2 linked regions of the Macaca fascicularis genome follow. The protein of the gene in region 1 interacts with the protein of each later gene in a pairwise test. Links are inferred from orthologs where the notes say so. Each region holds a gene or a part of one and is shown on either strand. Other genes may lie near its edges.

What was found. The genes of interacting proteins can lie anywhere in the genome.
Region 2: the proteins of CRK (region 1) and DPPA4 interact in binary tests that used the Homo sapiens proteins (3 or more experiments, as listed by UniProt). The two-hybrid records come from large-scale screens. The link is inferred for Macaca fascicularis from reciprocal best matches to the Homo sapiens genes CRK and DPPA4.

What each region holds. Positions count from the first base shown.
Region 1 is NC_088390.1:1,559,835-1,568,178, forward strand, and holds the start of CRK (adapter molecule crk), read right to left. Parts: upstream 5,626-8,344; 5' UTR 5,482-5,625; coding exon 5,241-5,481; intron 1-5,240. UniProt on the Homo sapiens protein: Involved in cell branching and adhesion mediated by BCAR1-CRK-RAPGEF1 signaling and activation of RAP1.
Region 2 is NC_088376.1:173,736,964-173,744,802, reverse strand, and holds part of DPPA4 (developmental pluripotency-associated protein 4), read right to left. Parts: intron 6,165-7,839; coding exon 6,004-6,164; intron 5,918-6,003; coding exon 5,867-5,917; intron 3,971-5,866; coding exon 3,682-3,970; intron 1,968-3,681; coding exon 1,769-1,967; intron 922-1,768; coding exon 885-921; 3' UTR 1-884. UniProt on the Homo sapiens protein: May be involved in the maintenance of active epigenetic status of target genes. May inhibit differentiation of embryonic cells into a primitive ectoderm lineage.

The DNA.
Region 1 (8,344 bases):
CCTAACGCTTTGGGAGGCCAGGGCAGGCGGATCACTTGAGGTCAGGAAATCGAGACCAGCCTGGCCAACATGGTGAAACCCCGTCTATACTAAAAATACAAAAAAATTAGCTGGGCGTGGTGGCGTGTGCCTGTAGTCCCAGCTACTCGGGAGGCTGAGGCAGGAGAATGGCTTGAGCAGGGAGGGGGAGGTTGCAGTGAGCTGAGATCGCCCCACTGCACCCCAGCCTGGGCGACACAGCAAGACTCCATCGCAAAAATAAAAAATAAAAAATAAAAGTAGTAACAATTTTAAAAAGCTTCTTCATCACTGACTTAAGATAGCAGATACGTATTGTCTGAACGATAAAGCCAGTGGCATGATCTCGGCGCACTGCAACCTCTGCCTCCGAAGTTCAAGCGATTCTTGTGCCTCAATCTCTCCAGTCGCTGGGATTACAGGCGCATGCCACCACGCCCTGCTAATTTTTGTATTTTTTAGGAGAGATGGGGTTTCACCATGTTGGCCAGGCTGGTCTCTAACTCCCGGCCTCAAATGATCTGCCTGCCTTGGCCTCCCAAAATGCTGGGATTGCAGGCGTGAGCCACCGCGCCCGGCCTCTTCTTGCCATTCTTTAATTCTGATCTTTAAAAAAACCTGGGTTGGATGCAGCTGTACATGCTGGAAGTCCCAGCTACTCAGAGCCTGAGTCAGGAGGACTGCCTGCCCCAAAGTTAAGGGCTGTAGTGTACTATGACTGTGCCTGTCAACAGCCACTGCACTCCAGTTTGAGCAACACGGTGGGGAAAAAAAAAAACACAAGGCTGAGACAGGCAGATTACCTGAGGTCAGGAGTTCGAGACCAGCCTGGCCAACACGGTGAAACCTGTGTCTACCAAAAATACAAAAAAAAAAAAATTAGCCGGGCATGGTGGCGCATGCCTGTAATCCTAGCTACTCAGGAGGCTGAGAAAGGAGAATCACTTGACCCAGGGAAGGGGAGGTTTCAGTGAGCCGAGACTGCACCACTGCACTCTAGTAGCCTGGGGGACAACAAAAGCGAAACTCCATCCAAAAAAACAAAACAAAGTACTGAGGATATTGAGGATACAGACCTCCACATGCATTGCTGACATCCCAAAAGGACGCTGGTTCTGACAAGTGTAGCATAAAAGGGTCAGTTCTCAGGTCAGAATGCCTAGGTTCAACTTTGGAAAGTCATTTACTAGCTGTGTGACCTTAAGCAAGTTACTGAATCTGAGTGTTTCCTCCTGTATAAAATGGGAATATTTTAATAAATGGAGATCATATTACTTATCTCACCAGACTGTCCTAGACAGCAGGTGAAATAAGGCACATAAAGTACTCAAGCAAAGTACCTGGCACAGAATAACCAGTCAATAAACATTAGTTATTAATATTGTATACGCCTCTTTAAAATTCAAGAAATTTCTCTGTGTGACTTCAAAAGGACTTGGTGAGAGGAAAAACAAAGATTCAGTACTTAGCACTTGAGATTTGAGGTACAAAGCACTTAGCACTTGAGGTACAAAGTAATTCTGAGGTTATACAGACAGGCCGGGTGCGGTGGCTCAGGCCCAGCACTTTGGGAGGCCGAGGCGGGTGGATCATCAGAGTTCAGCAGTTCCAGACCAGCCTGGCCAACATGGCGAAACCCCATCTCTACTAAAAAATACAAAAATTAGCTGAGCATGGTGGTGGGCCTCTATAATTCCAGCTACTCAGGAGGGTGAGGCAGGAGAATTGTTTGAACCTGGGAGACGGAGATTGCAGTGAGTCAGTATCACGCCATTGCACTCTGGCGTGGGAGACAAGAGTAAAAACTCTGCCTCGGCCGGGCGCGGTGGCTCAAGCCTGTAATCCCAGCACTTTGGGAGGCCGAGACGGGCGGATCACGAGGTCAGGAGATCGAGACCATCCTGGCTAACACGGTGAAACCCCGTCTCTATTAAGAAATACAAAAAACTAGCCGGGCGAGGCGGCGGGCGCCTGTAGTCCCAGCTACTTGGGAGGCTGAGGCTGGAGAATGGCGTGAACCCGGGAGGCGGAGCTTGCAGTGAGCTGAGATCCGGCCACTGCACTCCAGCCTGGGCGGCAGAGCCAGACTCTGTCTCAAAAAAAAAAAAAAAAAAAAAAAAAAACTCTGCCTCAAAAAACAAACAAACAAACAAACAAGACAGCAACTGAGCCAGGCACAGTGGCTCACACCTGCAATTCCAGCACTTTGGGAGTCTGAAGCGGGAGGATCTCTTGAGACCAAGAATTTGAGACTAGCCTGGACAACACAGTGAAACCCCTCATCTCCACAAAAAAAAGTTAAACAGTTAACCAGGCATGGTGGATATGCCTGTAGTCCCAGCTGCTCAGGAGGCTAAAGTGGGAGGATGGCTTGAGCCCGGGAGGTCAAGGCTGCAGTGAGCTGTGTTCATGCCACTGCACTCCAGCTTGAGAGACAAAGGCCCTGTCTCAGAAGAGAGAAAAGACAGCAACTGAATCGTAGAAAATGGGGTACAATATGGCAGAATTATCACAACACTCGTGAATATTCCACACCCCATCCACAAACTTTGGCAATCTTCACCTTCTTTCCTGGGCCAAGGAACTGAGTTCTTATCTGTTTTGAAAAGGTGGTGCTCCATTATCCAAGTAAGGCTTGAGATATAAAAATCGTTATGCTAAGATGTGAAAAAATATCAAGCTAACAAACCTGCCGGCTGCCATTTTCAACTCTGGCAACCAACAAACACAAACAAAAGGCTGAAAAGTGAGTTTCAGTAAGTTTGCCATCATGTTACTACATATAATGCAAAACCCCAGATACCACGCAGGTGGCATCAAAGTAGCATATATCTGGTTCAGGGCCAACACAGGTACATCAATATTCCCATCTCATAACACCATTAAACTGGCCAGAATGAGAAAGATCTACAATAATTTGTGAACTTATAGACCCCATACTCATTTTCTAAAAATAGTTATGTGTTGGGCTGGGTGTGGTGGCTCACACCTGTAATCCCAGCACTTTGGGAGGCTGAGGCGGGCGGATCACCTGAGGTCAGGAGTTCGAGACCAGCCTGGTCAACATGGTGAAACCCCATCTCTACTAAAAATACAAAAACTAGCCAGGCATGGTGGCGTGTGCCTGTAATCCCAGCTACTAGGGAGGCTGAAGCAAGAGAATCCTTTGAACCCACGACGTAGAGATTGCAGTGAGCTGAGATCACACCACTGAACTCCAGCCTGGGCAACAAAAGTGAAACTCCGCCTCAAACAAACAAAGCTGGGTGCGGTGGCTCACACCCGTAATCCCAGCACTTTGAGGGGGCAAAGGCGAGTGGATTACCTGAGGTCAGGAGTTCAAGACCCACCTGGTCAACCTGGTAAAACCCCATCTCTACTAAAAATACAAAAATTAGATGGGCGTGGTGACAGGCACTGGTAATCCCAGCTACTTAGGAGGCTGAGGCAGGAGAATCACTTGAACCCAAAAGGCGGAGGTTGCAGTGAGCCAAGATGGCGCCACTGCACTCCAGCCTGGGTGACAGAGAGAGACTCTGTCTCAAAATAAATAAATAATAAATAAATAAATAAAATAAGAAAAAAATTGGTTATGTGTTGGCCAGGCACGGTGGCTCATACCTGTAATCCCAGCATTTTGGGAGGGTGGATCACCTGAGGTCAGGAGTTTGAGACCAGCCTGGCCAATCTGGTGAAATCTTGTCTCTACTAGAAATACAACATTAGCTGGTTGTGGTGGTGGGTGCCTGTAATCCCAGCTACTCGGGAGACTGAGGCAGGAGAATCTTGAACCCGGGAGCCCCGGGGAGGTGGAGGTGGCCATGAGCCGAGATCGTGCTACTGCGCTCCAGCATGGGCGACAGAGCGAGACTCCGTCTCAGGAAAAAGTAAAATAAAAATTGGTATGTGTTAATAACAAAGAGACTGGCTATTCAATTCTCCATTTCTGGCCGGAACAAGTAAATCTAAATTAGAACGATCCTACAAGAGAAAGTCTAGAGAGGATGGCTCAGGAGCTTCCTGATTCATAGGAGACTAGTCTGAACCCAGTCTCAGCGGCCAAGAAGAAACAGCTTCGACTTGGCAACAGTGTGAAGGCACGAGGACTCCTGATGCTGTTAAACAGGTACACATACAATGAGAACCCCAGAATTACTTCGTACCTCACAAATCTCCAGTACTAAGGGCATCTATCTATTCCCTTGAAACACTCCCAAATCAACTCCAACGGCATCGGAAAGACAGTCAATCTCAGGGATCCCTGGCAAGAAAAACCCAGCGCAGGTAATTTATGTTCTTGGCGTAGAGTCTGTTCCCAGCATCCAGGAAGACTCAGCCCGCAGCCCCATCTTACTGAGCAAGGTCACGCCCTGAAGTACACACTGACAATGTTTAAGTCCAAGGAAAATGAAGCTCCAGTCACATCCAGGGAAGGGTCTGTTTCCACTGCCTCATTTCTGGTTTATTCTCTGGAATAAAATGTCTTTCCTCCACTAAACACTTTGAAAACCAGAACCCTCTACCGGCGGACAGTCTTCTGGACGCTTAGATGTCCTGCACGCAGCCAGGCATCGCCTTAAACTGGGTTGGGCTGGTCACTGAAGGCTTTCTTCTATCACTTAATTCACCACCTTCGTCCTCCACGGGGGAAGAGGACGGTACAAGGATTTTGGAAAAATGCCCAAGAAAGGAAAAAACTAACCGGTTTCCTGAGGGTGTCTCCATCCCTCCCGGCCAGTTTGTGGTGACTTCCTACCAAAGGCCACCAGGGGAGCACGGCCAAACCCGGCTCTCCAACACGGCAGGAAACGCTTCCAGCCCAAAAGCCACTTGTAGGATTATCGGATTCATTCTGGGCGCCGCTGCCAAGTGATGCCCCCGCAGTGCCAACATCTCCCTCAGCTCTTTGTCCCCACGTTGCCTTGCCCTGCCCTACCCTTGCGCCTGGCCCGGGAGCCAGCCCCACCCTGGGGCCGAAGCAGTTCCCCTTCCCCGGGGCTGCCCTTCCCAGGCACACCCCGGGGCCTCGGTCCGCGGCTCCTCCTCCCCCACACTCCTGTTCCCCGGGTGGGAATGAGCCCCAGCAGCCGGCGGGCCCCTGCCACGGTCACCCAGCCCTCTGCCCACGACCCCGAGGGTCCGCTCTCAAGGAGCAGCCAGCCGGGCTGGGAGCTCCGCGGCCCTCACCCCGCCCAGGGCCCCCCGTCCCGTCAGTCCCTCACCCGGCGGAGGTTGGGCGGGCGACGGCGGCACTGGCGGGCGCGGGCCGCTGCTGTTGATGATGTAGTGGGAGACGCGCGAGTTCTCTGAGACGCTGAGCACATAGTCCCCGGGGCTGGTGCTCGAGTCCCGCACCAGGAACACCCCGTGCCGCTGGCCCTGCAGCAGCGCCACCGCCTCCTGCCGACTCAACCGCCCCCAGTACCAGCTACTCCGCTCCTCCGAGTCGAAGTTGCCCGCCATGGCTGCCTCCGCGCCTAAACGCTGGGGTGCCGCCGCCGCGCGCGCCCCTCCGGCCCCCGGCGCCCGCCGCCCAGCGGACCGGCTCCGGTTTCAGCTTCACAGCAGCGCCCGAAATGGCGGCGGCAGCCGCGGGCCTTCCCCACCGGAAATGACGCGCTCCCTGCCCGAGGGAGGCTGCCGGGAAGGGGCCCGCGGCCCGCCATTGGGAGAAGGGCAAGGCGCCCTCGCGCGCGCACTGCGCATGCGGCCTCATGGGCGGTGCCGCCCTGCCCGGCCCGGGGATGAGGGGGATGGGAGGCGGGGTCTAGGGCCCGGGGGCGGGGCCTCGCGGCCTCCCGCAGAGACGTGCGCCTGCGCCGCCGACCGCGCGGTGCTGCTTCAGGCTCGCGTTCCCGGACTGCCCGGGACTTCTAGGCGGCGGCTCCCAGACAGGATTGCAGGAGAAAAGACGCGTGTGGCCCTGGGGCCTCAGTTCTCGGCCAGGCTTCCTGGGATATCAGTCTGTTTCTCTTTTCTTTTTCTTATTTTGTTTTTTCAGACGGTGTCTCTGTCGCCCAGACTGGAGTGCAGTGCCGCGATCTCGGCTCACCGCAACCTCCGCCTCCCGCGTTCAAGCGATTCTCCTGCCTCCGCCTCCCAAGTAGCTGGGATTACAGGCGAGCGCCACCACGCCTGGCTAATTTTTGTATTTTTAGTAGAGACGGGGGTTTCACCATGTTGGCCAGGCTGGTCTCGAACTCCTGACCTCGGGTGATCCACCCGCTTCGGTCTCCCAAAGTGCTGGGATTACAGGCGAGAAACATCGCTCCCGGCCATGTCGGTCTGTTTCTTCTCGTTCCTCTAGCTTCTCCACAGGCCGGCTGACGTTCTCATTTTCATTGATTCATTCAGGACATTGTTATGGACACTCCACCTGCACTGCGGGTGCAAAGGTGATGGATGCTGGGCCCTGCACTCCTCAAACTCACACACCAGTGAGAGGAACCAGGAAACTGCATGACAAAAGGATGACAAATGCTGACAAGCGCTATCATGGGAAACGGACATGAACACAGAGCAGAGCCCCCCTCCATCCAGTCTGCGGAGTAATCCAAGAGGGCTTCCCAGAGGAGGTAGCATGTGTTGACTGCTGAATGACAAAAGGGGAAGGACATTCAAAGCAAAGGGAGCAGAGTGTGCCAAGCCACGTGAAGTACAGAGTTCTCCTCTCTTTTGAGGCTTTGGGGTCACCTGCCCAGATACTTCTAAACACTAAATTGTAGCCAGGGGCATCTCCTACTTTCACTGCCGTCATGGTCACTCTGGACTGTGTTCCTATGAGTGGCTTGCTCGCTGGTGCCCTTTCGTCTGGTTGCCTCTAATTGCACTGCAAACAGCTCCCACTGAGTTTTCTAAAATACAGATCTGGCTGGGCACGGTGGCTCACGCCTGTAATCCCAACACTTTGGGAGGCTGAGGCAGGCGGATCACCTGAGGTCAGGAGTTCTAGACCAGGCTGACCAATATGGTGAAACCGCGTCTCTACTAATACAAAAATTAGCTGGGCGTGATAGTGGCTGCCTGTAATCCCAGCTACTCAGGAAGATGAGGCAGGAGAATCGCTTGAACCCGGGAGACAGAGGTTGCAGTGAGCTGAGATCCCACCATTACACTCCAGCCTGGGCGACAGAGGGAGATCCTGTCTCAAAAAAGTATATATGTATACAAATCTGAATGTGTTGCTACCTTGTGTAAAACGTTTAACAGTCTTCAGGTGTTCAAACTCCCAGGTTAGCTCAGAGCATAAAATTGAGCCATAGTCTCTCTTTTTTTTTTCAGATGGATTCTTGCTCTGACGCCCAGGCTGGAGTGCAGTGGTGCGATCACAGCTCACTGCAACCGCCACCTCCCGGGTTCAAGTGATTCTCCCTGCCTTAGCCTCCCAAGTAGCTGGGACTACAGGCGCCTGCCACCATGCCCAGCTAATAATGTTCGTATTTTTGGTCGAGACGAGGTTTCACCGTGTTAGCCAGGATGGTCTCCATCTCCCGACCTCGTGATCCGCCCACATCGGCCTCCCAGAGTGCTGGGATTACAGGCGAGAGCCACTGTGCCTGGCCTGGAATGCTCTTCTACCCACTTTGGAGTCTCAAATTCAAATGTCTTCCCTTTCTTTATGTTTTTGTTTTTTGAGATGGAGTCTCGCTCTGTCACCCAGGCTGGAGTGCAGTGGTGCCATCTTGGCTCACTGCAAGCTCCACCTCCTGGGTTCACGCCATTCTCCTGCCTCAGCCTCCCCAATAGGTGGGACTACAGGCGCCCGCCACCATGCCCGGCTAATGTTTTTTGTATTTTTTTTTTTTTAGTAGAGATGGGGTTTCACCGTGTTGGCTAGGATGGTCTCCATCTGCTGACGTCGTGATCCGCCCTCCTCGGCCTCCCAAATTGCTGGGATTACAGGCGTGAGCCACTGCGCCCGGCCCGAATGTCTCCCCTTTCTTTTTTTTTTTTTTTTTTTTTTTGAGACGGAGTCTAGCTCTGTAGCCCAGGCTAGAGTGCAGTGGCCAGATCTCAGCTCACTGCAAGCTCCACCTCCTGGGTTCACGCCATTCTCCGGCCTCAGCCTCCCGAGTAGCTGGGACTACAGGCGCCCGCCACCTCGCCCGGCTAGTTTTTTGTATTTTTAGTAGAGACGGGGTTTCACCGTGTTAGCCAGGATGGTCTCGATCTCCTGACCTCGTGATCCGCCCATCTCGGCCTCCCAAAGTGCTGGGATTACAGGCTTGAGCCACCGCGCCCGGCCGTCTCCCCTTTCTTAACCACCCTATCACTCCCTCTCCATCAACAGCAATACGTCCAAATTATTCCCATGACAGCTCTTACC
Region 2 (7,839 bases), on another chromosome or scaffold:
CTGGAGTCAAACCACAGAAATCTCAGGTTAAGAGAACTTTGAAAAATATTGTTTCGAATATTAAAAATCATGTGTTTGAGGAAGGGAGAGAATTAACAGCCTTTATTTGCCTTAAAATACTTTATGTTTTATGAAATTGCAATTGGAATGAAGCAGCTCCTAAAGTAGTCAGTGTTCAGAGGAAAAGAAAATTGAGCACAAGAGCCAGTTGAGTTTTACTCAACTCCTTCACAATGCTCAGCTGAAGAACTTCTCACTTAAAAGACCTGTTGAAGATCAGGCACAGTGGCTCATGCCCATAATCCCAGTATTTTGGAAGGCCGAGGCGGGTGATTACTTGAGTCCAGGAGTTCGAGACTAACCTGGCCAACATAGGGAAACCCCATCTCTACTTAAAAAAAAAAAAAAAAAAAAGCTGGGTGTGGTGGCTGGTGCCTGTAATCCCAGCTACTCAGGAGGCTGAGGCAGGAGAATCACTTGAACTCAGGAGGCAGAGATTGCACTGAACTGAGATTGAACAAGTGCACTCCAGCCTGGGCAACAGAGTGAGACACTGTCTCAAAAGACAAAACAAAACAGAGCTGCTGCTGAAGTCATGTCTATTTTAGAAAAGTAGTACGAATGAGTTTTTCTATATATTAGCTACAATTTATGGTAATTTGCGAAATGTTTTTCCGTTTTTAAATCTGAGAGTCTCTATCTCCACTCACAAAGCAACAGGCACTGCTAGGGCTCTTAGGCTAACATCTGCCACCCCACCAGTCTGCATGGTCCATAAACAGGTGTGCAGAGGACCAGAGTTCACCTGTCAGCAGCCCCGCGGAATCCGACTCTCCAGACTTTCTGCCATTAATTACCATAGATGTGGCCTTTTTCCTGATATTCTATTCCCATTGGAGGCTTTTTATTAAGACCTTGTTCCTATAAAGCAAATAAAATGTTTGTTTTCAAAAAGTTAAGAATCAAGAAATATCAAAAATAGCCAAGAAACCCGTTGCTGGAATGCTGTTGAAATTGCCCTTACAACTTTAGGATCATAGGTAACAAGCCTATGACGCTGTCATTCGAGAATGAAGATCATTAGCCAAGTTAGCATGCCTCTGAAATATGTTCCCCGACTTGTGCGAACCATGGACAAGAGACCTTGGAGGGGCTCTTTGCATCACTTTCCCAAAAACCCAAGTATGTCATTAAAGGACTACCCAAAGTGACCTCCTCACTTCTATTCAACTTGCTTGGCATAGAGAGATTATCAAAATACAGCAAAAAGCAGGATATCCCAAAGGAAAAGCCAATCACACATTCACACACTTCCTCCTGTGGGAGATGGTCTTGCTATGTTTCCCTGGCTGAGAAATTACCGATCTAGTCAATTCTTCCCTTAACTTAAGGAATCTCTTCTTTGATATTGACGTTATTCCAGGTGTTTGTATGTGCACCATCCCTGTTTAGACTGTAGGCTACTTAAAGGAAGAGCTTTTCTACTAGTCATTATTTCTGTGTAGGGCATACACTTTGAATATAGTAATTATACAATGTTTGTTGCTCCCAGAATTCTGTGTCTCCAGGTAGAAGCGTTAAACCCTGACACAGAAATGCTTTCTGTTTCCTGGGGATAAACTTAACTGAGTAATGATTTTCTTGAAACTCTTTACTGACAATTTGAGCTTGAAATACATGGCTATATAAGATTAATGTGTATCTTGACTTTCTGCAATTGAAAATCCAGCACCCACTTTTAGTTTGTAGAAAAGCATCAGGTAATTACCTGTGAACACATTTGGGGCACAACATATTGTCTTCAAGATGCGGGGGTGGAAAATTGGAGGCAGGAAGCAAGAAGAGTGCACTCACTCTCCCTTCTTGCTTTTCTGGAACCCAGGCTTGACCAGCATGAAACTGCAGGTGAACCCAACCATCTGTGTCTGCAGGGAGACTTTTCCCATGGACCACACACCACCTGACACCTGGCGAAGGAGAGAGACAGGCACCCACACACCAGGATGACATACCGAAGTAAGGCTGCATTATGGCCCATCACCCTTGATTGACCAACTCCAAGATGTGAACCCTGAAATCCTAACTTAACCTCTTCTCTATTCTGTTCTCCTTTAGAAAAGCATACAAGACAGTTCCTGTTAAAACTTAAAAATCTAGGCGGGGCACGGTGGCTCATGCCTGTAATCCCAGCACTTTGGGAGGCCAAGGCGGGCGGATCATGAGGTCAGGATATCGAGACCATCCTGGCTAACACTGTGAAACCCCGTCTCTACTAAAAATACAAATTAGCCGGGCGTGGCGGCGGGCGCCTGTAGTCCCAGCTACTTGGGAGAATGAGGCAGGAGAATGGCGTGAACCTGGGAGGCGGAGCTCGCAGTGAGCCATGATCACACCACTGTACTACAGCCTGGGCGACAGAGCAAGACTCCGTCTCAAATAAACAAACAAACAAACAAATAAATAAATCTAGTTGGAAGTAGTATAGTTGTAGGTGGGCAGATGGTAGAAAGACTAACCCAGAGTGTCTGGAAAGGGCTTCATGAAACAAGCTCAGGGGCCCCAGCTCTGAACACACATTGGATTGTGCTAAACAGTTTATTGTCTTCTTTTGTTGTATTTTCTGTAATTCTTACAACATATAAGCTAGGTGTCGCCCATTTTACAATGAAAACACTGGGAAATATTTTAAATAACTTATTAATGCCATTCTGGGGCTCAGCTGCAGGCAATTAATTTTAGATCTTACTTTTAAATTGCTTAGGCCGGGTGCGGTGGCTCACGCCTGTAATCCCAGCACTTTGGGAGGCCGAGGCGGGCGGATCACAAGGTCAGGAGATCGAGACCATCCTGGCTAACACTGTGAAACCCCGTCTCTACTAAAAATGCAAAAAATTAGCCGGGCGAGGCGGCGGGCGCCTGTAGTCCCAACTACTCGGGAGGCTGAGGCAGGAGAATGGCGTGAACCCGGGAGGCGGAGCTTGCAGTGAGCCGAGATCGCGCCACTGCACTCCAGCCTGGGCGACTAAGCGAGACTCTGTCTCAAAAAAAAAAAAATAAAATAAAATAAAATTGCTTAAAGGGGAAAGAAAGAAAACCAAACTGCTATCCTCTTCTGATGCCATCAATCATTTAAAGCAGTGGTTCTCAAACTGTGGTCCCCAGACCAGCATCCTTACTGCTGCCCGGAAAACTGAGAAATGCAAACTCTCGCTGGGTGCAGTGGCTCACACCTGTAATCCCAGCATTCTGGGAGGCCGAGGCAGGCGGATCATCTGAGGTCAGGAGTTTGAGACCAGCCTGACCAACATGGAGAAAACCCGTCTCTATTAAAAATACAAAATTAGCCGGGCATGGTTGCGCCTGCCTGTAATCCCAGCTACTCAGGAAGGCTGAAGCAGGCGAATTGCTGGAACCCGGGAGGTTGAGGTTGTGGTGAGCCAAGATCGCACCACTGCACTCTAGCCTGGGCAACAAGAACGAAACTCTGTCTCAAAAAAAAAAAGAAAGAAATGCAAATGCTCAGGTCCTGTCCTAGACCTGAATTAGAAACTCTGTGGGCAGGGTCCAGGAATCGCCGGCCCTCAAAGGCATTTTGATATACCCTAAAAATATATCAGGCATTAATCTCTACTAAGCTTATTTCCCCACTGGACCAGAATAAGCTCTTCGTGTTGGGCTTACCACAGGCCTCTTGTGGAGATTCCACTGCCTCTGGCGTCCTCGCCCTGGCCGAAATTCTCGCCCAGGAGGCCAGCAAAGCCTCTGGGGCAGAAGTTGTCACCACAACTGTATTAACTCCCTCAAGGAGAGCAGTGGAATCTTCCAGGGCAGGCGGCCCCTCCGCAGGGGGAAGGGCCACTTCAGGAGGATGTGTCTCAGAACTTTGCAGGGACGTTTCCCCTTTTTCCACCTTTAATTTTTTTTTCAATGATTTCCGGATTTTGGCCTCTTTTGCTGTGCTAGGAAAATCCTACAGAAAGGGTTAGATAATAAAGATAAAAATAAAGATTAAAATTCTAACAAAAATAAATGGCCTCAGAGTTAAGAAGTTCTTGATCAAATGCAAAGTTTCACTTAGACAGGAGGTCTAGGTTCAAGAGATCCACTGTACAACTTGGTTAATTACAATGTACTGTCTTCTTGAAAATTGCACAGTTGGCTGCACATGGCTCAGGTCTGTAATCCCAGCACTTTGGGAGGCCAAGGTTGGTGAAACACTTGAGGTCAGGAGTTCAAGAACAGCCCTGGCCAACGTGGTGAAACCGCATCTCTACTAAAAATACAAAAATTATCCAGGCGTGGTGGTTCATGCCTGCAATCCCAGCTACTCAGGGGGCTGAGACTGGGGTATCACTTGAACCAGGGAGGCGGAAGTTGCAGTGAGCCTGCACTCCAGCCTAGGTGACAGAGGGAGACTCTGTCTTTAAAAAAAAAAGAAAGAAAGAAAATTGCTGGCCGGGCACAGTGGCTCACGCCTGTAATCCCAGCACTTTGGGAGACCGAGGTGAGCGGATCACGAGGTCAGGAGTTCTAGACCAGCCTGGCCAACATGGTGAAACCCTGTCTCTACTAAAAATACAAACATCAGCCAGGCGTGGTGGCAGGTGCTGTAATCCCAGCTACTCTGGAGGCTGAGGCAGGAGAATCACTTGAACCCAGGAGGTGGAGGTTGCAGTGAGCTGAGATTGCGCACTGCACTCCAGCCTGAGCAACAAGAGCGAAACTTTGTCTTAAAAAAAAAAAAAAGAAAGAAAGAAAACCTGGGCACGGTGGGGCTCACGCCTGTAATCCCAGCACTTTGGGAGGCTGAGGTGGGCAGATCACCTGAGGTCGGGAGTTTGAGACCAGCCCGACCAACATGGAGAAATGCCGTCTCTATTAAAAATCCAAATTAGCCAGGTGTGGTGGCGCATACCTGTAATCTCAGCTACTCGGGAGGCTAAGGCGGGAGAATCATCTGAATCCGGGAGGCAGCGGATGCATGGAGCGAAATTCTGTCTCAATAATTATAATAATAATAATAATAATAATATAGTATGTAAAGTGATGTATGTATTAATTAGCTTGAGTTAGCCATTCCACAATGTATACGTATTTCAAAGCCATGTGCTGTACATGATAAAAATATACAATTTTTGTCAATTAAAAAAATTTAAGTGCTGCCTCTTTTTATTTTTGAGACAGCGTTTCACTCTTGTGCCCAGGCTGGAGTGCAATGGTGCATCTCAGCTCACGGCAACCTCTGCCTCCTGGTTTCAAGCAATTCTACTGCCTCAGCCTCCTGAATAGCTGGGATTACACACATGCACCACCACACCTGGCTAATTTTTGTATTTTTAGTAGAGACAGGATTTCACCATGTTGGCCAGGCTGGGCTGCCTCATTTTTATTATTCTTTGCAGACTTGGTGAGAAGTAGGGATGGAAGGCCAGGCACGGTGGCTCACACCTGTAATCCCAGCACCTTGGGAGGCCGAGGTGGGCAGACCACGAGGTCAGGAGTTCAAGACCAGCCTGACCAAAATAGTGAAACCCCACCTCTACTAAAAATACAAAAAATTAGCTGGGCGTGGTGGCGGGTGCTTGTAATCTCAGCTACTTAGGAGGCTGAGGCAGGAGAATTGCTTGAATTCGGGAGGTGGAGGTTGCAGTGAGCTGAGATGGTGCCACAGCACTCCAGTCTGGGTGACAGTGTGAGACTCCATCTCAAAAAAAAAAAAAAGGAAAGCAGGCATGGAAAATACTGTTCTTTCTTAGAACTAGGGGTGGAGGGACAAGCGGAGGCTAAGACAGCTCCTTTACTCACTTTTGAGGCTACAATAGGTAATTAGGATAAGCACTGAAACGTACATCCTTTAAAAAGTTACCTTTTGATTTGGGTAGGCAAAGGCACACAGGCGCTTATATGCATCCAATTTCTAAGACAACAGAAAACTGAGTTAGTAAGGCAAGTAAGGTTCCTACCCTTCCTCCCAGCAGTACCATCCCCAGCCTAGGCCCTCACCTGGCCTTTGGAGCTCAGCTTCAATTGTTGGCACCAGGCCCGCAGAATGTCCCGGTGAATCAGATTAACAGGTGGCAGTTTAGAGGGTAATGGAGGGATTGGTATCTTCCTCTGAGGTCTGGGGTTGTCACTGCACTCTGCCTTCTTCTTAGGACAGAGCACTGAAGGAGAATGGAATCAAATTAGTAGTAATTAACTTTGTGTACCTTTTCAGAATTTCAAAAGTAAAATCACTGTTTTTTTTTTTTTTTTTTGAGAGTCTTGCTTTGTCGCCCGGCTGGAGCGCAGTGGCGCAATCTTGGCTCCCTGTAACCTCCGCCTCCTGGGTTCAAGCGATTCTCCTGCCTCAGCCTCCTGAGAAGCTGGGATTACAGATGCCCACCACCACGCCCGGCTAATTTTTTTTCTATTTTTAGTGGAGGTGAAGTTTCACCATGTTGGCCAAGCTGGTCTCGAACTCCTGAACTTGTGATCTGCCCACCTAGGCCTCCCAAAGTGCTAGGATTACAGGCCTAAGCCACCGCGCCCGGCCTAAAATCAGTTTTAGTTATTAATAGTTCAATCCCTCTCAAACCTAGGACTTACCACTTCTAAATCCCAGTTTTATTCCTCAATCTCCCCACTACTCAGGTACACGTGCTCCTTTGTGAACCCTTTAGTCCACAGAACCCAGGTGGTGGCACCGGAGATGCCACTTCCATCCCAGGGGAATTATCACTGTCTTAGACTTGAGATCATACCTTTGTGAACCCCTTAATCCACAGAACCCAGGTGGTGGCACCAGAGATGGCACTTCCACCCGAGGGGAATTACCGCTGTCTTAGACTTGAGATCATACTCAGTGGTGTCCTCTACACACAGAGCAAACTCAACACCTGACAATACTACACAGGCAACCACTAATATTCCTAATTCTGCCAGCCCACCCTAGTCAGGGCAGCACTCTGGTTTCATAGCAGGTATGCTTCCTTAGCTGAGCTGTGTTTCTGTTCATCCTGCTTCTGCACCTCACATACCTTGTCTTCATTCAGTAAAGATATTTGGCTAGGCACAGTGGCTCACACTGTAATCCCAGCACTTTGGGAGGCCGAGGTGGGGGGATAACCTGAGGTCAGGAGTTTGAGACCAGCATGGCCAACATGGTGAAATGCTGTCTCTACTAAAAAAAAAAAAAAAAATTCGCTGGGCATGATGGCACATGCCTGTAATCTCAGTTACTTGGGAGGCTGAGGCTGGATAACTGTTTGAATCCGGGAGGCAGAGGTTTTAGTGGGCCAGGATCATGCCAAAAAAATGTCTAAGGCTGGGTCTGGTGGCTTACACCTGTAATCCCAGCACTTTAGGAGGCCAAGGCAGATGGGTCACTTGAGGCCAAGAGTTCACAACCAGCCTGGCCAATATGGTAAAATCCCGTCTCTACTAAAAATACAAAAATCAGCCAGGCATGGTGGCACACGCCTGCAATCCTAGCTAACTTGGGAGGCTAAGACAGGACAATCGCTTGAACCAGGGAGGCAGAGGTTGCAGGGAACTGAGATGGTGCCACCACACTCTAGCCTGGATGACAGACCAACACCCTGTCTTGGTGTCTCAAAAAAAAAGACACAGCCTGTAATGACACTTAGAGTTAGTAGGGTTTACTGTGTACATATTACTTCTTTTTTTTTTTTTTTTTTTGAGACAGAGTCTTGCTCTGTCGCCCAGGCTGGAGCGCAGTGGCCGGATCTCGGCCCACTGCAAGCTCCGCCTCCCGGGTTTACGCCATTCTCCTGCCTCAGCCTCCCGAGTAGCTGGGACTACAGTTGCCCGCCACCTCGCCCGGCTAGTTTTTTTTTT